Linked DNA regions of Ovis aries. The protein of the gene in region 2 purifies or fractionates together with the protein of the main gene of each other region. This does not show direct contact. Links are inferred from orthologs where the notes say so. Each region holds a gene or a part of one and is shown on either strand. Other genes may lie near its edges.

Region 1 (3,747 bases), on a different chromosome or scaffold from region 2:
GTAAATAAACTTAGTGACTAGTTACAACAGCCAAAAGGTGAAACCAACCCAAATATCAATAAGAAAACTATTTTCACACAAAGGAATATTATTCAAATGAAAAGCACAACTACAGATAAAAGAATCAAAATCATTATATTTCAAAAATATACTGAGCAAAAGAAGACAGACACAGAGATTTCTCTGGTGGTCCAATGGCTAAGACTCCGCACCCCCAATGCGGGCAGCCTAGGCCCCGTCCCTGGTCAGGGAACTGGAGCACATGGGCCACAGCTGAGTTTGCACGCTGCCAACAGAAGATCTCGCACACCTCAACCAAGACCTGGCACAGCCAAACAGACCCACAGAGACGTGAAAGACTGTGTAGTATGCTTTCTGGCTCCATTTATATGATGCTGAAGGACCTGCAAAATTACTCTAAAAAATAGAAATCAGAATCGGGAATTGTTACCTTTCAATTTTGAAGGATGGCTTTAACAACGAAAAAGGCACACAAAGGAACTGCACTCCTCCCAACATCTTGTCTCTCCCTCTGGTATTCACATGTCGATGGCACTCCCCAACTCAACCTGCAGCCTGCGTCCCCTCACAACCCAGAGTCAACAGACTACAAACAAGAGACGACTGGAAGGCCAACGTTTTAACCAAGGCTCTGAGTGTCTCTCCCCTTTACCCTGGCCACACAGCAGTCTTATCCAGGTTCCTGGAGGAGGTCCAGGATCTTTGCATGTGCTGCCCCCTCAGTCCAGAAGGCTCTTCTTGCCTTCCAGGGTTTAGCTGACATTCAGTTCAGTCACTCAGTCGTGTCCGACTCTTTGCGACCCCATGAACTGCAGCACACCAGGCCTCCCTGTCCATCACCAACTCCCGGAGTTCACCCAAACTCTTGTCCATCGAGTCAGGGATGCCATCCAGCCATCTCATCCTCGGTCGTCCCCTTCTCCTCCTGCCCCCAATCCCTCCCAGCATCAGAGTCTTTTCCCATGAGTCAACTCTTCACATGAGGTGGCCAAAGTACTGGAGCTTCAGCTTCAGCATCGTTCCTTCCAAAGACATTAGAGAAGCCAAAACGGAAGGGACACGAAGAAGAGGTGAACAGCTGAGAGTGCCAGTGAGAACCCAGGCCCTGAGAAGCCAAGGGCAGGGCAGGAAGAGGCCACGGCAGGAGGCGAGCGAGTGACAGCCACTCAGCCGCGTCCAGCTCTGTACATTCCACGGGATTCTCCAGGCCAGAATACTGGAGGGGGCAGCGCTCCCCTTCTCCAGGGGCTTGTCCCCAGGGATCGAGCCCAGGGCTCCTGCACTGCAGGTGGATTCTTTACCAGCTGAGACACAAGGGAAGGGGGGAGATGACAGGTGGATAAGCGAGTAACAGGCTGGAGAAGGCCCTATGGACAAGGCAGGTGGACACAGGGAGAGAACGGGGCGGCGCAGCGCGGAACGCAGGAGCTACGTGGAAGCCACAGACTGGGCGAGCTGGTGGCGACAGGCCAGGGGGTCAGCAGCGAGGTGGGAGCAGTCAGGGACAAGTCTGCGGACGATGCAGGGCGTTAGGCTGTGAAGACACAAAGTGGAAGGGGGGTTGTATGGACCTCACAGTGATGGTGCGAGGACATTCACGGGGCCTGGAAAGTGCATAAGGGCCGCCCCAGGTGTGAAGGAGAGGTGGTGGGGAAGAAACGTGGCAGTGAGAGAGAAGTCGCTCCGTCGTGTCCGACTCTTTGCGACCCGTGGACTGTAGCCCACCAGGCTCCTCCGTCCACGGGAGTCTCCAGGCAAGAGCACCAGAGTGGGTTGCCATGAAGGAGTCAGCAGATGACGGGCGGAGAGACAGGCGACTGGAGAAACGGGAAGGGCACAGTGAGGGGGGAAGGGCGCAGACGACAGGGGGCTCCGGCGAGGGGAGCGCCCCGCGGCCGCGCGGGGCAGGCGGGGCGGGCCCTGAGCGGGACTCAGCCCCGGGGCACTGACGGGGCGCCCGGCCGGCAAGCGGGGCGCGGACTGCGCGGGCCCCGGCGGCGCCGGGGAAGGAAGGGCAGACACGCGCGACCGCCTGACGAGGGGGAGAGTCTCCGGGGCTCGCTGACGGCGGGCGGCGCCGGGGGGCGCGCCGGCGGGCGAGGACTGCGGCCCTGGGGCTCAGCGCGCTGGGGGGCGGGCGCCGGCGGCACGGCAGGCGGCGGCGGGCACGTGGAGAGGACGCGGACGGGGCGGGCGCCAGCGGCGGGCGCGGGCCCGGCGGACCCCGGCCGCGGGGCGCGGACAGGCCGGGCCTCACGGCGGCGGTGCCATGGGGACACCGGCGCGCGGGCCCCGCCGGCCCTCAGCCGCGGCCGCACTCACCTGCCCCGCGGGCCGGGCGTCGCGGCGGCTCCTCGGAGGCCCGGGTGGAGGCCAGGGACCGGGCGGAGGCGAAGCCCGGGCGGCCCGCGGCAGGCCGCGCGCACATGGGCCCGGCCGGGCGAGGCGCCCACAGACACTGCACCCACAGACCCGGCGCGGCCCGCCGGCGCCTCAGGACCGGCTCAGGCCGCGGGCCGCGCGCTGGCCGCTCCAAAATGGCGGTGGCGGCGGCCGGCCGCGCGCACGCCGGGGGCGGGGCCTCGCCTGGGGGTGGGGCGAGGCCTCCGTGTGGGTGTGGCGGGTGTGGGCGGGGCCGCGCGTGGTGGGCGGGGCCGCGCGTGGTGGGCGGGGCCGCGCGTGGTGGGCGGGGCCGCGGGGTCGGAGGGGCCTCTAGAAGTGGGGGCGTGGCTTCCCCTTCCTCTGCTCCCTCTAGGTAAACATCTCTTCCTCTGTCGTCCCCTTTCTCCTCCTGCCTTCAATCTTTCCCAGCATCAGGGTCTTTGCCAATAAGTCGGCTCTTCGCATCAGGTGACCAAAGTATTGGAGTTTCAGCCTCAACATCAGTCCTTCCAATGAACACCCAGGACTGATCTCCTTTAGGATGGACTGGTTGGATCTCCTGGCAGTCCCAAGGACTCTCAAGAGTCTTCTCCAACACCAGAGTTCAAAAGCATCAATTCTTTGGCCCTCAGCCTTCTTTATAGTCCAACTCTCGCACTCATACATGACTACTGGAAAAACCATAGCTTTGACTAGACAGACCTTTGTCAGTAAAGTGATTTCTCTGTTTTTTAGTATGTTGTCTAGGTTTGTCATAGCTTTCCTTCGAAGGAGCGTTTCTTTTCACTTCAAAATGAATCTGATCCCTGAGCTATGCCGAGCCTTGTCAGCAGAGGGTGCTGGAGAGGTTGCCAGAGAAGGTTTGCTCCAGGGCCGCTCCGCTGGCGTCAAGCGCCGCTTCCCCGGGGTCCCACATTTGCCTAGACAGCTCCTCCAGAACATCTTTCCCAGGTAGACCGCATGGTGGACCTCTGGCAAGCTCTGTAGGGTGATCGTTCAGGAAATGGGGGTTGAAAGCGTCAATCTTACAACCGAGAATAGATTATAAGCCCTGCAAGCGAAGGCCGCCCCCGCCCCCACCTCGGAGGCTGGAGGTGCACTAGGCAGTTTCAGAATAGGGGCCGGCGCTTGCGATGCTCGGGCTGGTTGTCCTCCTGTGAGAGCCGGCAACCCTCACCCTGATCATGATGCTCTTCTGCGGTCAGCTAGGACCCCTCTCCTCTCCCACCCACCCTGAGTTCCAGTCCCTCCACTTCTAACTGGAGCCCCTCTCCCCGAAGTCCTAGTCTTAGAACAGTCTCTGCCACCAAATTCACAGCAGCAACCTCCCAGCGGGCTCCCAGC
Region 2 (3,647 bases):
TGGTGTAAACGGATAGCTGTTTGAAAGGAAGTAAAAGATTGGTTCTTTCTAGATTCCCTAGTAGTTTATACGTGCGCGTGTGCGTGCGCACACACACACACACACACACACACCTGTTTTTCTTTCCTGATTAATTAAAACTAGTTCTGGAGAAGTGTTAGGGACCTTTACACATAATCCATAATCTTAATGTGGGTATGTGGAGGGGGTGGATGCAGAGAGCGCTGGTTCCTGCCGGGTTTGAGCAGGGGCAGCCCATTGTCATCTGGAATCCTACCGTATCCTCTTCGAGCATCACCCACTTTGGTGCAAGAGACGAGCTTTCTTTACCTTTGCTTTCAGTTTATTTATGGTTTATTTAAGTTTATGGTCTAAATTTTGGTCTCTGCCTTTTGGCTGAAAGCAATGAAAAATGTCCTTTCTGACAATAACATCTGGTTTGTACCCCTTCATTTGGTAAACCTTTTTGGCATAACATAATGTTCAGTCCTATTTAGAATTACTTTTTGAGAAACCAACGCTTCTCAAACGTCAGTCAGAACTAAATATATTCAATATATTAGAAAACAATTCTCATTTACATGTTAAAGCCAATCCTGGGCTTGCTTAAGTTTATAGCTTCAAACAAACCCTTTTGTTGTAATTTTGCCTTAGTTTTAAAAATGGGGATGGACTATAAAGTTTTTCTTTTTTAAGAATTTTAAAAATTGTTTACAGGCCCGACTCCCTCATTTGTACCAGTTTTTCAATATTGTCATAATTCATGGCTTCTGGGCCATAAATTGCCAGGTGGGGATGTAGTGGTACCTTGGTGTTCTGCTGTCTTTCGGCGTCGCACCTGCTGTGTGAGCAGATAACCTAGCACAGAGTCACTTGTACTTCACACTGAACACTAAATTGGTTTGTTTTCTTCTAGAGTCATCCACTGTCTCTAGTTTTTGCTTTCAAATCTACAGAACATGTTAAAATCTATGTTGAGTTTCCTTTCTGAAGAGATGTCTAAAATTGTGTTATATAAATCTAAAACGGATTTCCAATACTTTTTGTTTTAATAGTATATCACAGAATTGGCAAATGCCTTGTCTTACTGTCATTCAAAGAGAGTTATTCACAGAGACATTAAGCCAGAGAACCTGCTCCTTGGATCAGCTGGAGAGCTTAAGATCGCCGATTTTGGGTGGTCGGTACATGCCCCATCCTCCAGGTATATAACTTCAGAGATGGAACTTGTTTGTTTGGTTTAGTAAAAGCCTAGGGGCTAATGAGCTAAATAGTAAAATATTTACTGTAAGTAAATGTAAGCATAGATGTTGTGGGCGGTTGGGTCAGGTAACTGACATACATGCTTTGGAGTAATTTAGGCCTGGCAGGAAACTAGTGTCTTCAAGAACATTTTTACTATGCAGCCATTTGTGGATGTTTATCCTGGGGTTACGGAGAAGGCAATGGCACCCCACTCCAGTACTCTTGCCTGGAAAATCCCATGGACAGAGGAGCCTGGTAGGCTGCAGTCCATGAGGTCGCTAAGAGTCAGACCTGACTGAGCGACTTCGCTTTGACTTTTCACTTTCATGCATTGGAGAAGGAAATGGCAAGCCACTCCAGTATTCTTGCCTGGAGAATCCCAGGGATGGAGAATGCTGGTGGGCTGCCATCTATAGGGTTGCACAGAGTCGGACACGACTGAAGCAACTTAACAGCAGCAGCAACCTGGGGTTAAAGATGCATACTATCCTTAGAGGCCAGTGAAGGGGACAAATAGGTAAAAGATATGACAAGTGTATCACAGAATGAAATGCGGTGTGTAGAGGGGGAACAACACCTGACTGACGGGGAGGCAAACTCCACTGCCTCCAGGGCCAGGAGACACGAGTTCTATGAGTTCTGAGGGCAGCACCTGCAGAGCTCTAGAACTGGGAGCTTAAAGGAACCAAACTAGTTTGGATGGAGCTTTCAGACTGGTGGGTAAAGATTCTTTGGTCTGCTTCTGTCAACAGAGCAGTCCTTTCCTATCTCCTCTTAAAGCAGAGAGACCAACCTATGAAACAATTTAAGTGAACTTTGCAAACAGAGCTAAAACATTTTCTCCTGTTTTTAGGTTGGGTTTCAATGAGCTTTTGAAACCATGTGTGAAGTAGGGCAATTAAAAGCATACATCTACTGCTAAGAGTTTGTCAGCTTTGGGGTAGGTCTTTAAAAAATTGTAACCAGATTACTTTAAAGCCAGTTTAAAAAACTGTATAGTCCCAAATGGATGCTGTTGAGTGTGAGATTTGTTTTTGATATAGATCACTCCTAATTGTTTCCAGCAAGGCACTGAATCTGCTGTTGCAGTCTCTTTTTGTTTAGGGGAGAAAAAAATCTGGTTGTCACAAGTGGGAGCTGTTGGCCTCTGGTGAGGCAAACAGCAATGGCTGTATGATCACAGGGCTAAGCTGGACCTTGGCCCGCCCAGTGGTGTCCTCACGACAGGAAAGCTAGCTGATCCTTTTCTAAAGAGGATATCATATAAAATGTTGGTCACTTGGCCCGGCTTCCCATAGCTGGTTCGCTGTAAGAGCTCTCAGGTTACTGTGCTGTCTTCCAAGGCTCTTGATCTGGGCCTTCTCCCGAATCCAGTGGTGAGAGGCTAGGAGTCTGCGGTGGCAGCTCCTTTAGGTGAGCGAACATTTGTGCACTTGCCAGGCACCAGTGGCACCAAAGAGTAACTGGTACAAGGCAGCAAAATCTGCCTAGCCTTTGCTCCTGTTTTGATGTCTGTTTCCAACCTCTGTTATAAAAACAGACACGCTGAATTGATCACCTGCCTATCCAGTGCCTATACTCCCAATAGTTGTTAACATTTTACCACATTGAGTGTGTCTACGTTTTGGTTAACCTTCAAAAAATAAGTGACAGACAGCATGCTTCATCCTTTGAGTGCTTCAGTAAGTAGGCTAAGGACATTGTCCTGTATAATCACAGCCATTATCACACCTAAGAAACCTAGTCTTGTTAATATCTACTATTTAGTCCATGTTCAAATTTCCCTAGTTGTTCACACAGTTTTATAGTGGTGATACTTTAAATCTTATATATCATTTAAGGAAGTTCTGGAATTAGACATATTTGGGGTGCCACATGATTGCTAACTGTGAGGTCTGGTACAGCACCCCATCTAAAAATGGGTTTATAATAGCACCTGCTTTGTAGCACAGGAGCTAGCCTAGGAAAAGCGCTCAGGGTTAGTGGAATGGTTGGTGCCTTTGAGCAGCTGTCATGATAATAGAAACAGTAGCACGTCAACCCGAGCCTGCCTGTATTTTCAGGAGGACCACCCTCTGCGGCACGCTGGACTACCTGCCCCCTGAGATGATTGAGGGCCGGATGCACGACGAGAAAGTGGACCTCTGGAGCCTTGGGGTGCTTTGCTATGAGTTCCTCGTCGGGAAGCCTCCTTTTGAGGCAGACACATACCAGGAGACCTACAGAAGAATATCACGGGTAAGGCCTCACTACAGAGGGACCCGTCGTTGTTAGAATTCCTTATCAGCCTTGACAGGAGGCTATGATCTGAGTGTTTCTCGTGTTCTCTCTGAGCCACGTTGTGACTCTTGTCACTTATTGTGTACTCATCCAGGTGGAATTCACATTCCCTGACTGCGTGC

The links. The genes of interacting proteins can lie anywhere in the genome.
Region 1: the proteins of AURKA (region 2) and PPP6R2 purify together in Homo sapiens (affinity purification with mass spectrometry; 4 studies listed by BioGRID and IntAct, counting the BioPlex papers as one, with this or other methods). This does not show direct contact. The link is inferred for Ovis aries from reciprocal best matches to the Homo sapiens genes AURKA and PPP6R2.

The regions. Positions count from the first base shown.
Region 1 is NC_056056.1:225,612,884-225,616,630, reverse strand, and holds the start of PPP6R2 (serine/threonine-protein phosphatase 6 regulatory subunit 2), read right to left. Parts: upstream 2,556-3,747; 5' UTR 2,344-2,555; intron 1,556-2,343; exon of another isoform or gene 452-1,555; intron 1-451. UniProt on the Homo sapiens protein: Regulatory subunit of protein phosphatase 6 (PP6). May function as a scaffolding PP6 subunit. Involved in the PP6-mediated dephosphorylation of NFKBIE opposing its degradation in response to TNF-alpha.
Region 2 is NC_056066.1:59,223,844-59,227,490, forward strand, and holds part of AURKA (aurora kinase A), read left to right. Parts: intron 1-1,055; coding exon 1,056-1,204; intron 1,205-3,308; coding exon 3,309-3,483; intron 3,484-3,619; coding exon 3,620-3,647. UniProt on the Homo sapiens protein: Mitotic serine/threonine kinase that contributes to the regulation of cell cycle progression.